3 linked regions of the Stegostoma tigrinum genome follow. The protein of the gene in region 1 purifies or fractionates together with the protein of each later gene. This does not show direct contact. Links are inferred from orthologs where the notes say so. Each region holds a gene or a part of one and is shown on either strand. Other genes may lie near its edges.

The links. The genes of interacting proteins can lie anywhere in the genome.
Region 2: the proteins of cct2 (region 1) and tubd1 purify together in Homo sapiens (co-immunoprecipitation; 3 studies listed by BioGRID and IntAct, with this or other methods). This does not show direct contact. The link is inferred for Stegostoma tigrinum from reciprocal best matches to the Homo sapiens genes CCT2 and TUBD1.
Region 3: the proteins of cct2 (region 1) and txndc9 purify together in Homo sapiens (co-immunoprecipitation; 3 studies listed by BioGRID and IntAct, counting the BioPlex papers as one, with this or other methods). This does not show direct contact. The link is inferred for Stegostoma tigrinum from reciprocal best matches to the Homo sapiens genes CCT2 and TXNDC9.

What each region holds. Positions count from the first base shown.
Region 1 is NC_081371.1:45,599,919-45,607,252, forward strand, and holds the start of cct2 (T-complex protein 1 subunit beta), read right to left. Parts: upstream 3,012-7,334; 5' UTR 2,888-3,011; coding exon 2,885-2,887; intron 2,455-2,884; exon of another isoform or gene 2,353-2,454; intron 1-2,352. UniProt on the Homo sapiens protein: Component of the chaperonin-containing T-complex (TRiC), a molecular chaperone complex that assists the folding of actin, tubulin and other proteins upon ATP hydrolysis.
Region 2 is NC_081372.1:527,197-534,651, reverse strand, and holds the start of tubd1 (tubulin delta chain), read left to right. Parts: upstream 1-4,437; 5' UTR 4,438-4,703; coding exon 4,704-4,869; intron 4,870-7,455. UniProt on the Homo sapiens protein: Acts as a positive regulator of hedgehog signaling and regulates ciliary function.
Region 3 is NC_081359.1:59,429,698-59,436,773, forward strand, and holds the start of txndc9 (thioredoxin domain-containing protein 9), read right to left. Parts: upstream 3,019-7,076; 5' UTR 2,772-3,018; intron 1-2,771. Other genes in the region: eif5b (eukaryotic translation initiation factor 5B), read left to right, coding at 3,193-3,227. UniProt on the Homo sapiens protein: Significantly diminishes the chaperonin TCP1 complex ATPase activity, thus negatively impacts protein folding, including that of actin or tubulin.

The DNA of each region.
Region 1 (7,334 bases):
AAGTAAGAGGAAGTATATAAAAAAAAGTTAAGGCCACAATCAAATCAGCTACAAAGATACCACAGGCTTAAGAGATCAATGACTTAGTCAAGCTCCAAATTTGTAAGTTCATAACCCTCAGAGAACTCAAATTATTCAAATTTTGGCCTCCTGTACATTTCCTTCAGCTCATCACTGAGCCATATCCATCAACTGTTTCTGCTCTATACTAGCCAAGCCTCTTCCCCTCCTTCTAGATTTAATTTTAATTTTTTTTGGGTATGAACTTTTAAAAATGAATCAACTTTCTCTAGATTCTGCAAAATTAGCCACCTTGTAACCTCTCCTCAGTCTCCTGGCCCAAAAAAAAAGTCTTTCTTTCTTTCTGCGCTCTGTATACTACAATCTCATATTTCCTGCAGCATAGGGGTCAGAACGACATGCTGCCAGGTCTGAGGAAGAGTCACCAACCCAAAACGTTAACTCCGTTTTTTCCTTCAGTTGCTGCCAGACCTGCTGGGCTTTTCCAGAATAATGAGAGATAATGGGAACTGCAGATGCTGGAGAATTCCAAGATAATAAAATGTGAGGCTGGATGAACACAGCAGGCCAAGCAGCATCTCAGGAGCACAAAAGCTGATGTTTCGGGCCTAGACCCTTCATCAGAGAGGGGGATGGGGAGAGGGAACTGGAATAAATAAGGAGAGAGGGGGAGGCGGACCGAAGATGGAGAGTAAAGAAGATAGGTGGAGAGAGTATAGGTGGGGAGGTAGGGAGGGGACAGGTCAAGGAGGTGGGATGAGGCTAGTAGGTAGCTGGGGGTGCGGCTTGGGGTGGGAGGAAGGGATGGGTGAGAGGAAGAACCGGTTAGGGAGGCAGAGACAGGTTGGACTGGTTTTGGGATGCGGTGGGTTAAGAGCTGGGCTGGTTGTGTGGTGCAGTGGGGGGAGGGGACAAACTGGGCTGGTTTAGGGATGCAGTAGGGGAAGGGGAGATTTTGAAACTGGTGAAGTCCACATTGATACCATTAGGCTGCAGGGTTTCCAGGCGGATTATGAGTTGCTGTTCCTGCAACCTTTGGGTGGCATCATTGTGCACTGCAGGAGTCCCATGATGGACATGTCATCAAGAGAATGGGAGGGGGAGTGGAAATGGTTTGCGACTGGGAGGTGCAGTTGTTTGTTGCGAACTGAGCGGGGGTGTTCTGCAAAGCGGTCTCCAAGCCTCCGCTTGGTTTCCCCAATGTAGAGGAAGCCGCACCGGGTACAATGGATGCAGTATACCACATTGGCAGATGTGCAGGTGAACGTCTGCTTAATGTGGAATGTCATCTTGGGGCCTGGGATAGGGGTGAGGGAGGAGGTGTGGGGGCAAGTGTAGCATTTCCTGCGGTTGCAGGGGAAGGTGCCGGGTGTGGTGGGGTTGGAGGGCAGTGTGGAGCGAACAAGAGAGTCACGGAGAGTGTGGTCTCTCCGGAAGGCAGACAGGGGTGGGGATGGAAAAATGTCTTGGGTGGTGGGGGCGGATTGTAAATGGCGAAAGTGTCGGAGGATGATGCGTTGTATCGGAGGTTGGTGGGGTGGTGTGTGAGAACGAGGGAGATCCTCTTTGGGCGGTTGTGAGGGATGTGTTGCGGGAAATACGGGAGACGCGGTCAAGGGCGTTCTCGATCACTGTGGGGGGAAAGTTGCGGTCCTTAAAGAACTTGGCTTTTCCAGAAACTTTGTTTTTGTTCCTGATTTACAGCATCTGTAGTAGTTTTGGTTTTTATTATACTGTAAGTGTACCATTTAATACAATACTGACATAACCTTAGATTTAAGGTGGAGCATGAACATGGGATGGTTGGACTTTCGTTTGTGTGCTGTATACCCCAAGTCAACTTCCCACCTCTTACATTGCATGGCCCTGCTAATCCTCTATTCCATGCCTCAACAGCCTTATCCACCTGAGGTAGGAGACTTGGGTTGTTGGCAACGATAAAAATGCAAGAGGCAGTTGTTGTCGAATGAAGGGTCCAGGCCTAAAATGTCAGCTTTCCTGCTCGGCCTGTGTTCTTCCAGCTCTATACCTTGTTATCTCAATTTGTTCACGTTGTCAAGATAACAAAGTGTGAAGCTGGATGAACACAGCAGGCCCAGCAGCATTTCAGGAGCACAAAAGCTGTTTCGGGCCTACACCCCTCTCTGATGAAGGGTCTAGGCCCGAAACGTCAGCTTTTGTGCTCCTGAGATGCTGCTGGGCCTGCTGTGTTCATCCAGCCTCACATTTTATTATCTTGGATTCTCCAGCATCTGCAGTTCCCATTATCTCTCGTTCACATTTTCGTAGGATTTGGGCGGAGGGGGCAGGCTACGCCTGCGCACACTTCGACAATGAAGCCCCGCCCTCAGGAGTGCTGGAACTTTCGGCGGCGCCGCTTTTATCCGCTATTTTGAGGCAGCGGGACATCGGTAACACTCCGCCGGATAAGAGGTCGGTGTGAAGGGGGGGGGGGGTCTGGGGGTTTTGTCGGACGCAGAGTCTGTGTTTTCAAATTTATTTGTCCCCGATCAGAGCCGATTCCGGTGCTGTCAGCCTGAAGCCTCTTCCCAATCTGCCCTGCCCAGCCACACACAAAACAAAGATTCCATCCCATCGGTGGATAGGTGCTGAGGGTAGGGTCTGGGGAGAAGAAACCGCTGCCCAGCCCAGGGGGTGGGGGAGGCGATCGGCCCCGGCATCGTGAATATTCGCAACACGTGCCCGACTGAGACGGAAAACGAGAAGATTGAGGATTCAACTTCAACATACACACAGACACCACCCCGCCCCCCGGTTACCCAGCTTTTCGGATACCGAGGGAAGGGAAGCGACTCTCGCTCGGTGTGGGGACACGGCGAATACTCAGCCCGCAGACACCTACCATCTCGGGAGCTCGAGAGTCGCCGTCCGCTCAGCTTCGACCCAACCGCCGGAAGCCGCGACCTCCCTGAACCCGGAAGTTGGCCGCGCCTCCAGAGCCCGGATCGACGACCCCGCTTCTTGGTGGCGGGATCAACAGCGCGCAGACTCAATGGATCATTATCCTAGATAATAAAATGTGAGGCTGGATGAACACAGCAGGCCAAGCAGCATCTCAGGAGCATGCTCCTGAGATGCTGCTTGGCCTGCTGTGTTCATCCAGCCTCACATTTTATTATCTTGGAATCTCCAGCATCTGCAGTCCCCATTATCTCGGATCATTATCCTACCCGGCCCCCGGGAACAGAACAGAAACTTAATGTCACGTGAAAAATACAATGAATAGTTTTATAAGTCGTCCCACCACAGCACCTACAATGACAGATGTTACACAAGTAAAATTAGGACGAAGTTCGTCACAGTTTAGTTAATGGTTCCAGTTAACGCTACCCCGTGCACCACACAACCAGCCCAGCTCTTCCCCTCCACCCACTGCATCCCAAAACCAGTCCAACCTGTCTCTGCCTCCCTAACCGGTTCTTCCTCTCACCCATCCCTTCCTCCCACCCCAAGCCGCACCTCCATCTCCTACCTACTAACCTCATCCCACCTCCTTGACCTGTCCCCTCCCTACCTATACTCTCTCTCCACCTATCTTCTTTACTCTCCTTCGGTCCGCCTCCCCCTCCCTATTTATTCCAGAACCCTCACCCCATCCCCCTCTCTGATGAAGGGTCTAGGCGCGAAATGTCAGCTTTTGTGCTCCTGAGATGCTGCTGGGCCTGCTGCGTTCATCCAGCCTCACATTTTATTATCTCGGATTCTCCAGCATCTGCAGTTTCCATTATCACCCGTGCATCATCTACCGCCTACCCACACAATTCAAAAAACTCAATTCAAAAGAAAAGCCCAAACTCATGGATCATGTCACGTGTTTGTTGAAGTTAAAGTTCCCGCTACGTTCATGGTGCAACAGAACTAATCCAACAGATTAAAAAAAAGTTATCAGCTGAATCATCAGATACCAATATCAAATGCCTGGGCCAACTAAAGATTCATGCATAATTAACTGTCAGTGCCCACTCTGCCACTTAATGTGGCCTCAAATCCCATATAGTTGCAGATTTTGGTGAAGTGTTGCTAAAAACAAAATCTTTGTACATCTAGTTTATCTCCCAACATTCTCCTTGATCTAATTATTCTAAAGCCAGTCTAGATGACTCTTCATTAGAGCTAAAGGGAACTGGGGAAGGGGCAACTTTTTTGCAATAGTTGGGTGGGCAGGGTCAGAAGTGTTGGGGGAGAAAGGATGTTGATGGTTCAGATGAAGTGATGGAAATGCAAGAAAGGAAGAACAATGTTGTGTTTAACTGCCAGACATTTTCACATTCTGATTACTTTTTCACTTTGCTCCCAGCTGACATTAGCAGTTCTTATAAAGTGCATGACATGTCCTTGGATTCCAGCAAAAAGTTTTTTCTTGTAGTCACTTATGGTGCATCAGGACATCCAATTCTGACATTATTTGACCTGGCAGCCCATCAATGCTAGTTAAGTGGCATTCTGACCAAATTTAGCAGCAGGAGGAGGGGAAAAAAGGAAGATAAAATGACAAAAAGAAATTATGTGGAGGGTTTGAAACTCATTACTTACGATTTACAGAAAGCTGGAGTAGTCCATCACTCATCTACCTGGGTTGGAGTGATTGCCAAAACCCTGAGATGAAAGATCACACCATTCTATCCAATTTCATCTCAGCTACCTGCCAGGTCTTTGATTTTAATTTTGTTAAATGTATCCCTACCTTTTTCCACAATACCATCACAAAACCAGTTTTACTAAGAGAATACCAATGAATCCGTATCCATTATGCTTCCTTTTTGTGGGGTCTCAGGGCCAAGGTGCAGGATTTAATCTTTCCAAAGGCCTTGAACACACTTTTAATGTCATCTTCTGACAGACTCAGGCGAACTGACTTGACATAAACTCTCTTAAATGCCCTTACTTCCTCTGCAAGATTGGCAGTGATTGGTTCAGCTTGTGCTATGCTACTCTGCCTGCCAACCTTAATGTTTCTGGATGTTGATGCAGTGGATTAATTAGGTTATTAGCCACCCTGCCCCCCACCTGGGAGGTGTGTCAGTTATGTTATTTACTGCTCCATCCCCACTAGACCATTGCCTCCCCCCAACTCCATCAGAGGTGCACTAGTTAGTTAGGGTACACCCCCACTCCTCACGGTGGAGTTGTTCGAGTGGTGCAAACAAGAACAGAAATTGGAGAAACTCAGGTCTGGCAGTGTCTGTGGGGGGTAATTAGAGTTAGTGTTTCAAGTCCAGCCCAATTTTATTTTTGGGTGGAGGGGGTCACTGGACTTGAAACATTTACTCCATTTTCTTTCTACAGATGCTGTCAGACCTGCTGAGTTTCTCCAGCTTTTTCTGTTTTTGTTTGTTTCAAATCTTCAGCACCCACAATTGTTTTCTTACATCATTAAGATGGTTATTGGTGAGGTACCCTTCCCTTTCCTAGGGTCGTCAGTGGGTTACATAGTTAGTTAGACAGGTACCCTGTTGAGGTGGTGGGTTACTGAATTAGCTAGGTATCCTCCAGCAAGCCTAGCTGCAGAGGTGGGTTAGCTAGTCAGTTAGGTACCATTCATCCCCCTTCCTTGGGTTGAGGCAGTGGGTTATGTCGTTCAGATTTGCTTGCCATGTGTCCTAGCTTGGCAATGATGGCTTTAGTCAGTCTCCACTATATTGCCTCCCTCTTTGCTCTTGAGAGGCAGCTTTCCACAATAGGAATAAATGTGAATAAAGTGTCTGGGAGACTGTTGTTATTCAGCACAAAAAAAGTTTATTAATCATACACCGTTAAGTACAATGCTCATTTTGCAAGATGCAGCTTATTCCACAGGGAATTTCCAAGAGCCAGTAAACACTAAAGCTCTGGGCAGCTGCCAAATACATAAACCATGATTTGTTTAAAAAAAATTTGGTTTTACTTCAAAACTAGAGGACTGATGTAAACCCAGTAATGTGTTGCAGTTACAAATGTTTGTAAAATCATCAATCTCATGCTACAAAAAGTATTGGCACTTCTGACATTTGACAACCTCAGGCACAAAATATATGGGCATTCCTTAAAACCAACAATTTTGGCAAACCTGAAATGCAAACAATATAATATGGTAACTTCTAACTAATTCTTTGTTTGAGTACATCTCATACTCAGTTATGACAAAGAGCATTGCAAGAAAACATGGAATGTTTGCAACTCAAACACCAAAGGGGCTAAAATATATATATAGAAAAATGTACAACAAAGTTAAGTATTGATGTGCGCCACTCTGAGCTTTGTACTATTTTGTGTCCTATGTAAAAATAATTTTAAACTATTTTACTACTTTTATACAATCACTACATTTATGCAAGACTATCATTTTATAATGCTTGTTAGAAAAATTTACAGTATTGTACAATACAAAAATAGCCAAGCAACATTAAATGTAAGTTTTCATCCTTTAGTGTACTTTATAGTCTAGGAATGGAGGGTCTCTGTTTCTTCTTTGCAATTATTAAATGGCACCATCACTGACTAAAGGTTTAATATGATAATTTATAATCATGTCAAAAGTATTCTAATTTTCAGTCGGACAAAATCGCAATTTCATTTTCAGAATGTGATTCCATTCAACAAATTAGACCTGAACGAAACTGGTAAAAGAAAGTGAACTATTTGAAGCAAAAAGAGCAGCATTGATAGCAAGGTATTTTGAACATGATGGCTACAAGGCGCAAACATGATGTTTAAATCTTGTTCAAAAACATCCTTTGAAACTAAGGATATGCTGCATGATACATCCTCAGCAATGTTATATTACTGCTTGGTCAAAGTGATTAATGCACATTTATACATAGATTCTGGTGGCAAAATCAAGTTGTATACCAGCATCAGTTAAGTCTAATGAGACACATAGCAATCTCAATAGAAACTGCAGAAAATAAATTTAGTTAGGTATGCCATTTGCCTGCAAAGAATACACATACCGTATAAAAGATCTGTAAGATTGCTGGAAAAGCCCACAAAGTAGTAGACCTAAATATCTGCATTCATGTCACGTTCATGGGAGTGGCATTTAATTCCAATACTGCTGGAAAGAATTAGTACTGTAAGTTATCCAGTTCTAAAACCTAAGTTTAAACTGTAGAATGATAAGTCGAAAAGGGTGTTCTTATGGAGTTCCTGCTCTGCATGAATTCCCTTTAAACTGGTATAGCATGTAAGGCTCAAAATACAATATTCCTATAACTTTTCCTTAATTAAGTCTATTAATTTGTCAAATTTTAGAAGAGAGAACTCGGTCTGTCTCTTTATTTAACAAAGGTGCAACTGAACAAAATAGTGCTTCC
Region 2 (7,455 bases), on another chromosome or scaffold:
CAAGAAGCAACAACCTGATCAGCACAAGAATTATCTCAACAAATCCTGTAACAGAAACCACTGAACTGCTTTCTTAGTCTTTATTTCCACCCATAACATCCACTTCATGTCTGTGTGTGTCTGCATATATGATTAAGCTTGCATTTATATGTGTTTTAATAATGTTTTAATCAGCACAGTTATATTCTGATGGTTCAAAACTGTTTATCTGTAGTTAAAATCTAGAATAGTAATTTTTGTAAAGTACAGAAATCTGGTTTGTGCTTTCTGTCAACCTGGGTGTAAAAGAAAGGTAAGTTAGGGAAATATGCATGCTTTCTACCATCTCTACAATCTTTGTGATGACTTCAGGAAATGCAGGGCATGATTTTCAGCATGCTCGAGGATGGCATTACACATTATTAACTGCTCAGCTACACTCCCTGTAGGATCAATTACTTTGTTAACTCTTTCCCAGTTTAAATATCTATGGAAGCTCAAGTTGCCATGGTGATTAATTCCTATTGACTATAATCTTCATTTGTGTCAAATATCAGCTGGAGAATCCCACTCATAAGTCACATTGAGTGCATTTTGTTGTATCTTTTCTGGTGTGTCATATGCACTATCTGTGGGCTTAACTTCAAAAGAATAAAGAAAAGTTGATGGAATGGGTGAACATTAACAGACAAAATGTGCAGAGAAATGCAAAGTGATCCACTTTGTTGGAAGACCCTGGAGAACATGAGAAAATGATACAATTCTGAAAGGGTGCCTATGTTGTTCAAATGCAAAAAGATCTGGACAATATCAAGATGTGGGCTGACAAGTGGCAAGCATCATTTGAATAGAATCCCTATGGGATTGAAATGAGCCATTCAGCCCAACAAGTCCACACCAACTCTGCAAAGACCATCTCACCCTGCCTCGCGCTGTACCCTATCCCTGTAACCCTTGCATTTCCCACAGCTGATTCCCCTAACTACATATTCCTGGACTTTAAAGCATAGCCAATTCACCCAATCTGCACATCTTTGCACTGTGGGATGAAAACAGAGCACCTGCAAGAAACCCACACAGACACGGGAGAATGTGCAAACTCCACACAGGCTTCAACCCAGGTCCCTGGTGCTGAGGCAGCAGTGCAAATCACTGTGCCACCCTTACTGAATCCACCACTATCAACATCCTGGGAGTTACCGTTGACCAGAAACTCAACTGGATTCACCACATAAACACTGGCTACAAGAGTAGGTCAGAGGCTAGGAATACTGCAGCAAGTAACTCACCTCCTAACTCCCCAGAACTTGTCCAACATCTACAAGGCATAATTCCGGAGTGAGATGAATACTCCCCACTTGCCTGGATGAGTGGAGTTCCAACAACACTCAAGAAACTTACATATCTAGGACAAAACTGCCCACCTGATTGGCCCCATGTCCACAAGCATACACTCCCTCCACCACTGACACTCAGTAGTAACACTGTGTACTATCTACCAGATGCACTGCAGAAATTCACCAAAGATCCTCAGAGGGCACCTTCCAAACCTACATCTGGAAGGACAGGGGAAGCTGTTCCTTCAGTGTCATTCGGTAAAACACCTAGAATTCCCCTCAAATGGCATTGTGGAGTCAACCCACAGCACATGAACTACAGCAGTTCAAGAAGGCAGCTCACCATCGCCTTGTCAAGGGTGACCAGGGATGGGCAATAAACGCTGATGCCAGTGTTCCCCATGTCCCATGAATGAATGAAAGAAAAGGACCCTGGGCTTAGTAATGGATAAATTGTTGAAAATATCTTGCAGGTTGAGGCAGTAGGTAAAATCCTGGCTCATCCAACGATTTATGAATAAAGGCATAGACCACACAAGCAAGGCAGTTGTAATATGTTTGCAAAAAACATTGGTCCAACTGGACGACTCAACTGTTAATTGAAAAAAAATTGCCGGAGAATCTAGGCAGGTCTGGCAGCATCTGTGCAGAGAAAACAAAGTTAATGTTGGAGTCCAATGACCCTTCTTCAGAACTGATGGTACCTAGGAAAAAACAGTATTTATCAAGATGACAGGGGGTCAGGGCAGGAGTGAGCCAAGAGATGGAGATGGATATCAAGACAGAGAGATAGAGATAGAGGGAAAAGTTAGACAGACAGAGGGATTATTAATAGTAAGTGAGGAAAAAGAAAAGCTAGTTTAGCGATAATGGGGGCTATGAGTGAGTGAGAATGGGTTGGCTGTGCTGAAAGCAACTCACGTCATGACAAGTCCTGGGGTGTGGGGGTGGGTAAGAGACATGGAAGGAGGTGTAGCAGGCTTTCAAATGACTGAACTCGGTATTGACTCCTGAAGGGTGCACTGTCCCCAAATGGAAAATGAGATACTATTCCTGCTGCACGTGCTGAGCCTCAATGGAGAACTGTAGCAGGCCAGAGGAAGAAATGTTGGCTAGGGAACACAATGATGTGTTGAAGTGGCAGGCAACTGCAAACTTGGGGCCATCTTTATGGACTGAATGTAGGATCGATTGAAGACATTGGGACTTGTTCTCCTTAGAGAGAAAAGTGCTGAAAGAAAATTTGATAAGGGTTTTCAAAATCATGAGTGGGCTTGATAACATATAGATGGAGAAAACCCGTGCTCAGAAAACAATGACGCCAATGAAATAACTCCACAGAGGCCAGTATTGCATCACCAAGTTACACTTTATATACACGAGGCATGTTCTTGACAGTGATCCACCTCCCTCGAGCCAGCTCTCAGGATGAACAAGGTGTCTGACACTTTCCTACTTATCTCTCAGCCAGAGCTGCCTGATTGGACCAGATTAACAGCCCCAGTTAGGGAACTCATATTCTATGGGTCCACCTGGCTGACCTCATTACAATCACTGTAGGCATAAATTTAAAATGATGTACCAAACAAACAAGGGCGAAGTGAGAAACAATCTATTTCACATAATGAGTTGTTTTGGAAATGTGGTGGAAGTAGGTTCAATAGAGGCATTAATGATGGTATTTAACGATTATTTGGATAGAAATAGTACCCATGGGTATGGGGGAAAAGTAGGAGATTGACATGAAATAATGATGCTTGAAGAGCTGGTGCTGGCATGATGGGCCAAAAGACCTCCTTCTGCACCTTAACAAATCTGTGATTCCAGTTACCAAGTCTCAGGCTCTGCAATTCCCACCTGAAACATTGTTTTCTTTTAAAATGTTCCTGAAAGCCTGATGTACTGAAGGGTGAGCAGTGAGGAGAATGCAGAGATGTTGCAGTGTGATTTGGACAGGCTGAGTGAGTGGACAGATGGATGGCAGATGCACTATAATGTGGTTAAGTGTGAGGTTATCCACTTTGGTAGTGAAAAAGAGGAAGGCAGATTAATGTTTAAATGGCTGTAAATTGAGAGAAATTGTGATTGTACACTAGTTCCTGAAAGTGTGCAAATGTAGTAGGCAATAAAGAAGGCAAACTGTGTGTTAGTCTTTATAGCCACGTCTGGGATTAAAACCAAAAGAACTGCGGATGCTGAGCTTTTCCAGCAATGTTGTTTTTGTTCCACATCTGGAATATTGTATGCAGTTTTGGTCACCTTGTCTGAGGAATGATGCTCTTGCTTTAGAGGGGGCGTGGCAAAGGTTCATCAAATTGATTCCTGGAATGGCAGGGCTAATGTACGAGGAGAGATTGAGTCAGTTAGGATTCACTGGAGTTTTGAAGAATGAGGGGGTTCTCATAGAAACATATTAAATTCTAACATGGCCAGACAGGTTAAATGCAGGAAGAATGTTCCCAGTGGTGGGGTAGTCCAGAACCAGGGGTCATAGTTTTAGGACAAGTGGCAAACCATTCAGGACTGAGATGAGGAGAAATTTCCTCAAGCAGAGAGTGGTGAGCTTCTGGAAATCACTACCACAGAAATGGTTGAGGTTAAAACATTGTGTTTTCAAGAAGCTACTGTGACAAAAAGATTCAAGGGATGGGGGAGTGGGTGGACTTAGGGTATTGAGCTGAATGATCAACCATGATCATATTGAATGACAGAGCAGGTTTGCGGGGACAAATGGCCTCCTCTTGTTCCTATATTCTGTATTTCAATGAAAGGTCAGTGCCCTGAAACATTCAATTTGCTTGATCCACGGGCTGCTACCGAATGTTCCCTCATTTGAGATTTGTCATTACTTTAAAACATTTTTTAGGTCAGCTGGGGTCCGGTCTGAGAGTTTGTCAATGTCCCTATGAAACACTTGCGGACCTCACTCTTCTGCGCGTGAGAGCGCTGAAACATCAGCTTTCCTGCTCCTCTCACGCTGCTTGGCCTGCTGTGTCCATCCAGCTCCACACCGCGTCATCTCAGGTTCTCCAGCATCTGCACTTCCTACTGTCTATGAAAACGTAAGTTGTTGTTGTGCTGGTGGTGGCGGGACAGCGAAAAGCGCGCATGCGCCAAAGACGGAGGCCCTCCCGACCCGCAATTAACCCGCGAGAGAGCGCGCGCATTGCTGTGGCAACGGGGCCAGGCCGAGTCGCGCGTGAAGGGTCCGGTCAGTTAGACAGAGCGCGGGGAGACGGTGGTCAGTCAGTCAGCCCCAGGGGAGGGGTGGGTTCAGTCAGTCAGACAGACAGCCCTGTGGGGGGTGGTCAGTTAGATAGTCGGGGGGAGCGGCGACGGCAGACAGTCAGACAGACAGCCCCGGGGGTGAGCGGCTTGGGGAGGGGAATGGCGCTGGTGCTGCTGCAGCTCGGACAGTGCGGGAACCAGGTGGGCCAGGAGCTGCTCGAACTGGTCAGCCAGGATGGCCGGAGTGACCGGAGCCGGAGCCGCGCTGACACTTACCGAGCTGTTTCACTGGAGCGCTTCTTCCGGCAGGAGGCTGGGGCTAACGGTGAGGGGCATTGCTGAAGCTTCCTTCACCCATCACTCACCCCCCTGATCCTTCACCCATCCTTCACCCCCCCGATCCTTCACCCATCACTCACCCCCCCGATCCTTCACCCATCACTCACCCCCCCCAATCCTTCGCCCATCACTCACCCCCCCGATCCTTCACCCATCACTCACCCCCCCGATCCTTCACCCATCACTCACCACCCCCCAATCCTTCACCCATCACTCACCCCCCCGATCCTTCACCCATCACTCACCACCCCCCAATCCTTCACCCATCACTCACCCCCCCGATCCTTCACCCCCCCGATCCTTCACCCCCCCGATCCTTCACCCCCCCGATCCTTCACCCCCCCGATCCTCCACCCCGGTCCGATCCTTCACCCATCACTCACCCCACCCCCGATCCTTCACCCCCGCTGATCCTTCGCCCCCCCCCCGATCTTTCACCCCACCCCGATCCTTCGCCCCCCCCCACCGATCCTTCACCCATCACCACCACCCCGATCCTTCACCCCCGCAGATTCTTCACCCCCCCGATCCTTCACTCCCCTCGATCCTTCACCCCCCCGATCCTCCACCCATCACTCACCCCACTGATCCTTCACCACCCCCAAATCCTTCACCCCCCCCGATCCTTCACCCCCCCGAATCTTCACTCCCCCCACGATCGTTCACCCATCACTCACCCCCCCCGATCGTTAACCTATCACTCACCCACCCGATCGTTAACCCATCCCCAACCTCCCCGATCGTTCACCCATCCCTCACCCCCGCCGATCCTTCACCCTTCCCCCGATCCTTCACCCACTCCGATCCTTCACCCCCCCGATCCTTCACCCCCCCGATCCTTCACCCCCCCGATCCTTCACCCCCCTGATCCTTCACCCCCCCCGATCCATCACCCCCCAGATCCTTCACCCCAACCCGATGCTTCGCTGCCCCACCGATCCTTCGCCGCCCCCCCCGATCCTTCACTCCCCTCGATCCTTCGCCCGTCACTCACCCCCCTCGATCTTTCGCCCGTCACTCACCCCCCTCGATCTTTCGCCCGTCACTCACCCCCCTCGATCCTTCGCCCGCCACTCACCCCCCTCGGCCCTTCGCCCGTCACTCACCCCCTCGGCCCTTCGCCCGTCACTCACCCCCTCGGTCCTTCGCCCGTCCCTCACCCCCCTCGGTCCTTTGCCCGTCCCTCACCCCCCTCGGTCCTTTGCCCGTCCCTCACCCCCCTCGGTCCTTTGCCCGTCCCTCACCCCACTCGGTCCTTTGCCCGTCCCTCACCCCCTTCAGTCCTTCGCCCGTCCCTCACCCCACCTCCGATCCTTCGCCCGTCACTCACCCCCCCCGGATCCTTCTCTCATCACTCACCCCACGCCCCCCCGATCCTTCACCCCCGCTGATCCTTCGCCCCTCCGATCCTTTGCCCCCCCCCCACCACCCCGATCCTTCACCCCGCCCCAGATCCTTGAACCCCTGGATCCTTGAACCCCCGGATCTTCACTCCCCCCCCCCCCGATCGTTAACCCATCCCTCACCCCCGCCGATCCTTCGCCCCCCCGCGATCCTTCACCCCAACCCGATCCTTCGCCACCCCCGTTCCTTCACTCCCCTCGATCCTTCACCCCCCCCAGATCCTCCACCCATCACTCACCCCACTGATCCTCCACCACCCCCAAATCCTTCAACCCCCGATCCTTCACCCCCTCCTGAATCTTCACTCCCCCCTCGATCCTTCGCCCGTCACTCACCCGCCTCGATCCTTCGCCCGTCACTCACCCGCCTCGGTCCTTCGCCCGTCACTCACCCGCCCCCCCCCCCGTCCTTCACCCATAACTGACCCCCCCGATCCTTCACCCACTTCCCACACTCACCCCCCCTGATCCTTCACCCACACCCACTCCTCCCCCCGATCCTTCACCCTCTTCCCATACACACCCCCCCTGATCCTTTGCCCTTCTTGTACTCATCCTTGTTCAGTCTTCTTTGCCATCTCCCACATTCTGTACTGCATGGGAATTTCCTTCATTAAACCAACACACCTCAAAATGCACAGCAGCAGGTCACTGAGCTCCTGCCACCCCGTGCCACCTCAGCCTATTACATGAATGTTCTGCTGTAACACATTTTTACTAACGTGGACAGTTAATGTGGTAAACCTACTCACTTGAGCGCTGTCTTCTCTGGTACACTTTTTACAAATGCAATCAGTGTGAAATATTACAAAAAGCATGTCCAATCTTCAGGCCACACTTGTGTTGAATGTGACCCCTGGTATTTTTGCTTCACCTGAAAGAATGTTCTGTTCAAACTGAAACAACATGTATTTTATATTTAGAACAGCATTTATTTTAGATTTCGAACAGAATTTATTCGATTGCTGGCAGTGGCAACAACATCTACTGCATCTAAAATGAAAAACAGAATTTGCTGGAGAAGGTCAGATTTGGCAGCATCTGTTAATGTTAAGGAGATAGTAGGAACTGCAGATTTTGGAGAATCTGAGATAACAAGGTGTAGAGCTGGATGAACACAACAGGCCAAGCAGCATCAGTGGATCAGGAACCCTTCTCTAGGCCCAAAA
Region 3 (7,076 bases), on another chromosome or scaffold:
TATCCCCCATGAGGAGGGCATAAAAGCCCTCTGTTTCTTCCTCTGTCACAGGCACAACCTGTTCCCCTCCACCAACTCTCTCATTCGCTTGGCAGAACTAGTCCTTACCCTCAACAGTTATTCCTTTGACTCCTTCCACTTCCTACAAATTAAGAGGGTAGCTATGGGCACTCGCATGGGTCCGAGCTATGCCTGCCTCTTTGCCGGATTGGTGGAACAGTACCTCTTCCGCAGACACACTGGCACCATCCCTCACCTCTTCCTCCGCTACATTGATGACTGTATTGGTGCTGCCTCATGCCCCCATGAGGAGTTTGAACAGGTCATCAACTTCAGCAACACCTTTCACCCCAATCTCAAATTCACCTGGACCAACTTGACACCTCCCTTCCCTTCCTGGACCTCTGCGTCTCCATCTCTGGCAACCGAATTCCATTTCAAACCCACCGACTGCCACAGCTATCTTGACCATACCTCCTCTCACCTATCCTCTTGCAAAAATATGATCCCATACTCCCAATTCTTCTGCCTCTGTCACATCTGTCCTGTGATGAAGCGTTCCACTCCCAGACATCCCAGATGTCATCCTTCAAGGACCATAATTTCCCCACTCCTGTGATTCAGAATTCCCTCAACCACATCTCCTCATTTCCTGCACTTCTGCCCTCAAATCCCCTTCCCCTATCCCTGGTCCTCACATTCTACCCCACCAATCTGCAAATCCAATGCATCATCCTGTGCCATTTTTGTCACCTGCGATTTCACCCCACCACCGAAAAGATATTTCCCCATCTCTATCTGCCTTCTGTAGGGACTGCTCACTCTGTCGTCAGCTGCACGTGCCCCACCAACTTTCCCACCACACCTGGCATCCTGCCCTGCAACTGAAGGAGGTGCTACATCTGCCCCTATGCATTCCCTCTCAGCTGCATCCAAGGTCCCAAACAATCATTCCATATCCAGCAGAGATTCAATTGTATGTCTTCTAACCTGATCGACTGTATCAGTTGCTCCCAATGCGGTCTTCCCTATATAAGGGAGACCAAGCACTGATTCAGGGGCCAATTTGCACAGCATCTACACCCGGTACGCTCCAATCAATGCCACCTTCCGGTTGCTAGCCATTTCAACTCCCCATCCTACTGCCTTGGCAACATATCCATCCTGGGCCTCCTCCACAGTCAAAATGAGGCGATACATAAACTGGAAGAGCAATGCCGTACATTCCCCCTCAGGAGCTTACAGCCCAATGGCCTCAACATAGACCTCACCAGCTTCAAAATCTCCCCACCACCAGCCTCGACCCACGTCCAGCCCTACCTCTCATCCCCGCCTCTTTGACCTGTTACAACCTGTCCATCTTCCTTCTCATCCATTCACTCCACCCTTCCCACTGACCAATCTCTTCAATTCCCTACCTGCATTTACCTATCATCATACGCACTCCTTCCTCCAGCCCAACCTCGCCCGTTTATTTCTGAGCTCCCTTCCCCTCCCCAGTCCAGGTGAAGGGTCCGGACTCGAAACATTGACTTTCCTGCTCCTCTGATACTGCCTGACCTGCTGTGCTCCTTCAGCTCCACATTTTATCGATTCTATTTGACCTTTCTTCTTTTTTACCACCCAAATAGTGGTAAACAAGAGAAAAACTCTGCCCCGCTTCTCCAATTATGCAATTTTATAAGTCTCAAGAATTATACTTTTCTGTTGATACAAAGATGCTACCCAAAACAAGCACTAAACAATACTCGTAGGAGAAGCCAAGGGAACAGGGTGATAGTTCACAAGATCGCCAACAGTTATGTTTTGAGCGTAATGAAACACATATCTCACTCAGTGCAACAAGAGCAACACTCAATAAACTTAACTGCATCTAGTGTGGAGCAATTTTTGAATATCATCTATGCCATTGCACTCAACATGCTTCCATTTGACTCCTTCCCAGGTATATAAAGTGACAGGACTGAAAGACAGTTCACACAAAAACAAAATGTTGACAAGTTCTGCTTTTGGAAGGAGCAAATGCACTTGTACAAACTCGTTATGGTCCTAGTAGTTATGCCTGATTGAAAATATTTGCACTCATTGTTGTAATGCAGTAAACCTTGTTATCTGAGAACAGTGCCTCTTCTGTAGATAGTCCATGGTGCTGGATCCTCCTACCAAGAATCACGAGATAGGTAGAGAAAAGAAATGAACACTGTTTGTAGCAGATTGCCGCAAACAATCTTGACTCAGCACCACGTATTGTAAAGGTGGTAGTTACTACAAGGAAATAGGAATAGTCCTCTAAGAAAATAACACACATTCCATCGTTCAAACCTTGTGGCAATAACACATGCAATTTTAGAGTTGTATGGAAAGCTTTCCAGTCCTACTACGAGTGCAAACAGAACAACAATAACCACAAGAAAACTGTCACCTATAAGTTTTCCTCCAAGTCACAAACTATCTTTATTTTGGCCTGTACTCCTTCACCATTCTGGACCTTCTTATGGCACCCTCATTACTAAGGCTAAACGTAAGGTCTCAGTCATCAATAAACGTTGCCTTGTTTGAATAATGTAATATCGTGAGAAACAAAAACTGCAACCCACCAAACAGTTTCTAGTACCAAAAATGACATGATAGTCACAATTTAAATAAAGGAAAGGGTAAATACATGGCAATAAATACGCTTCTAACCATGATTAGAATAAGTAAACTATAAATTGCAACATAGTTTAATAAATTACAATAGCATATTGATATTTTTAAATTATAATGTTTACCTGATGCTAAAGGAGAGCTTTTGAGATGCAGATTTGCGACTGTAATAGGAAGCAACTATTTGATAAAATGCTGTATTTTTCCTCCACAGTTTTGGCATTTGTACTTTTCATAAACTGTTGGAAGGAAAAGTAGTTGCCAAATTCCCCTTCTTAAAATAATAATCATAAAAAGCAAGATTGAATCTTGATGCTCTCCGAAATGTCTTTTTGCAGTATTGATCCCAGCTCTTTTGCATCATTTCCTCCTTTGCACTTTCTACTTCCGCCTTGAATGATTGACAAGCGGGCGGATGGGCTGAAACCACAGCCAATCAGAGATCAGATCACGGGTCAGCCGCGATAGCGCATGCGCAGATTCACGCGACTGCCATATGTCTGAAAGAGATTTTAAAAAGTGACAGTGAGGCAACAGTGTAAAAAAATGGGGAAAAAACAGAAAAACAAGAGTGAAGATAAGTGAGTGTTGAGCTGTTTACTTTTCTGTTTATTCGTTACTGAAGAGGCTGGTTGCCGTGAGCGATGGAAGGAATTGAGGGAGTATGTTGCTTGACTAGGCCGCTGGACGGATCTGCTCCTACTGCTCGAGTGCGGAGGAGTCCGGGTCCCTACCGCTAACATGACGCAAGAGGGGCAGGCCCGCGGGCTACTGACTGGGGTTAACGTTAGTCTGTTTTGTAGAAATGGGAGACTTCGAGGTTGTCTTCACCCCCTTCCTCCGTGATCCTCCTTTACGTTTTCAAGGAACCTGATAAACCATAGGCTTAGAATTTGTTTCTACGTATGATTTTTATCCAATAATTTTACGGTCATGTCAAAAGTGGATATAACATACGTTGCAGTTTTCTTTTCCTAAACGTTATGGGCCATATCTAGAAGATATTACTCTGATGCAGACTTTATATTGATTTGACTCATTATGGACTTTTTAAGTATGTTAACATTCCTGTTGAAGTGACAAAGACACGCTAGGTGAACATAATATCAGTACAATAATTTCTAGACTGAAGATTAATATAGAATATAATTTAGGCCTTCGTTATGATATCAGATGCAAATCAGATGCCAGACAATGACTCCTTATGTTGCCTTGTCTGTATCCATTTGTTATCTTCTACTCTGTGACCCTGGACTATATGGTGTATATTAATCATAATTATGTGTAAATATTTGCAATCAGCCTGTGCAGATTTGTTATGACACACCTCTGGAACCAGGCCTCCTGGCTTAGAAGTTGGGATACCATTGCTGTGCCACTAAGGCCCTTCCATAATCCTGTTTACAATCAAAAATAGAATTCCAAGCATATGAGAATACTTGGTGAGCCCTTTGTTGATTTATTAGCATTGAAGTATCTGAATAGAGAAGTCTTATCATCTAAATATCTAGTTAGATTTGCCTTATTCTAAATGTCACCCACATTTGTGATCAACTTGTCCATTGAAAATTAGTTTGCTTGTTTAATTAACTGCCTATTCATTGACTGTCTGTACCCGTATTCTCCAATTCGATGGAAAGTGTTCCTCATATGTCAATAAATAGAAATAAGTTCACCCGTGGGCTGGAATGACCCTGCACATCTTGTGACCACTATGTGGGACTTGGATGTATTTTCTTGCATCTTATCAGGCATTCAATCCCACGATGAGCAATATAAAAGTATTCACATGCAAGTTTTTAAACTTCAGTGCTTGCTAGAAAATTTGGATGCTCAGAAAGGGCACGGACTAGTGGTATTAGCAGTAGTCTTAATAATTTGGGGTTCAAATCCCACCGTGGCAAATGGTGGATTTTGGATACATTTAACAGACATGTGATCACCGTGAAACTGGTGTGGTTTGTTAGAAAAACCCATCTCATTCACTAATATTCTTCAGGGAAGGAAATTTGCCAATCTTACCTGGTCTGACCCATGTGTGATTCCAATTCTCAGCAATAGGGTTAACTCTTAACTGTCCTCAGGGCAATTAGGGAGGGCAATAAAGGCTACTGTAGTCAGCAATGCCCTCCTATGATGGGATTTTTAAAAAAGTATTATTTAATAGTAGCCATCATATTACATTTATCAGCAGGGTCTACAGCTTTTTTAAATCATAAAATTTGGCAACTGGAATTTGCTAATTGATTTATTACTGAAAATTATGAAACAAGTTGTCACCATTAATCATTAGTGACGGACACTAAATGCAGAAGGTGAGAGATTGATAATGATTGATGTATGGTTGTTTGTGGGAGAAGGAACGATTGTGAGAAGCAGAGATCTTGAGAGAGATTACGTATTGGTGTGTGTAGATCAAGAAACATGAAGTGAGAGAGGAAGGGGTGCATGAATGAATAATCTAGATTTCAGGAAATGAAAAATATCAAATGTGCTAAATTTTGAACACAGGCACAATACTGCAGATGCTGGAAATTGGAAATAAATAATAAAATGCTGCAAATGCACGTTCGGTATTATAGAATTTGTGGAAAGTAATAGTTAACATTTCATCAGACCTGAATCGGAGTTAGAATAATCAGCTTTCAAGGAGAAATATGGGCAGGGGAAGGTTTTAAAACAAAAACAAGAGGGAAGCTCATTAGTTGGAGAAACTCTCAATCTCCAAAGAAGTGGTTCTTATTAAATTATTGGAACTTAGGCCTGTCAATTGCCCCGATCCTGATGAACTTCAACCAATGGTCCTAAAAGAAGCGGCTAATGAATGAGATGGTACAGATTTCAAGTGATTTGCAAAATAAAAACGTGATTTGAGAAAAGAACTTCCTCACACAACGATTGAGTCATGTTCAGTAGTTGAACACTTGTAGTGAGAACTGAGGTGGAAGCAAGTTTAATTGAGGCATTCAATGGCACTAGATGATTCTTTCTATTAAATAATGTGCAAGATTTTGGGAAGCAGGCAGGAGAGTGGCGCTGAGTTATAATTCCCATTTGGAAAGCTGCTGAAGACAGGAGGGGTTGAATGGCCTCCTGCTGCACTGTAACACTTCAGTGACTCTGAAGGGAAATATAAAATGGGTTGCAGCAACAAGATGTCCTCTGGGACAAGGAGGCAGAGATAGAAATGCCTTCCTAGAAAGATAGAACCATTTAGAAGACTAATGGGTAGGTAAGTGTATTTCAGAGAGATAAGCATGCCCAGTGGAGAGAAAAGGTGTGCATCAGCCTTGATTTACCACTGCAGTTTAGCAATTTAAAAAAAAAGACAGTGCAGAAGAAAAACCCTGTGTGGCAAAAAGTTAGGTGACAGGAGAATGTGGGCAGCACGAAGGCTCGGTAGTTAGCTCTGCTGCCTCACAACACCAGGGACCTGAGTTCAGTTCCACTCTCGGGCCACTAGCTGTGTGGAGTTTGCACATTCTACCTGTGCCTGCGTAGGTTTTCTCCGGGTGCTCTGGTTTCCTCCCACAGTCCAAAAACGTGCAGACTAGATGGATTGGCCATGCTAAATTGCCCGTGGTGTTCAGGGAGGTGTAGATTAGGTGGGTTATGACGAGAGGGGTGAATGGGTCTGGGTGGAATGCTCTGAGGGTCAGTGTGGATTTTTTGGGCCAACGGGCCTGTTTCCACACTATAGGAGTTCTGTGATGATGATCTATGAATATCTTACAAGGCCATTGAATGCACAATTTAAGTGAACACCTCGTGAGGAATAAATCGGTTATGTTAGCAGCTTAATGGTCTCCTGAAGAAATCTGACCTGGACATGATGGTGTAGAGTGAATGCAGAAGTTTGCTGGTAAGAAGCCAAGAATAGCCATGCTTCCTGAACAAGAAGCTTTTAAAGTGGAAAGAGAGTAACTTGGACTTTTAAGGTGAGAGCAAGAAGATTGTATCTTCCTAATATGTGCTAAGAACATTTCAAATAGTTCTTATACAGAGGTAAAGTCACTGTAGTCTTACCAAACTGCAGGACGACTGTCTCATTGGAGAAGCACAGCTGGTGGTATTTTAACCTGAGGGTCACCATGTCTTGGACGAGTGAAGAAGTTGAGAAGTAGAATCCTTCATGGTAACCTCAGCCAGCGTAAGAGTTGAACCCATGCTGTTAGCTTCATTCTGCAGTCCAGCCAACTGAGTTAAACTGATCCCAAAGGCTAAGTTAGAAAAAGGATTTGTCTAATAACATGAACATAAATATATATTTTTTTTGTTAAAAGTAGATTGGCAGCCTCTTTTTAATACATTCAGTTACTGACCACAGTAATAAACCAATTGCCCAAATTCAATTTCTAGTCTATCAAACCAGATTTCAAGTTGATATTAATGGACAAGTTAAATTCCATCAGCTGGGATGATAGCATTGA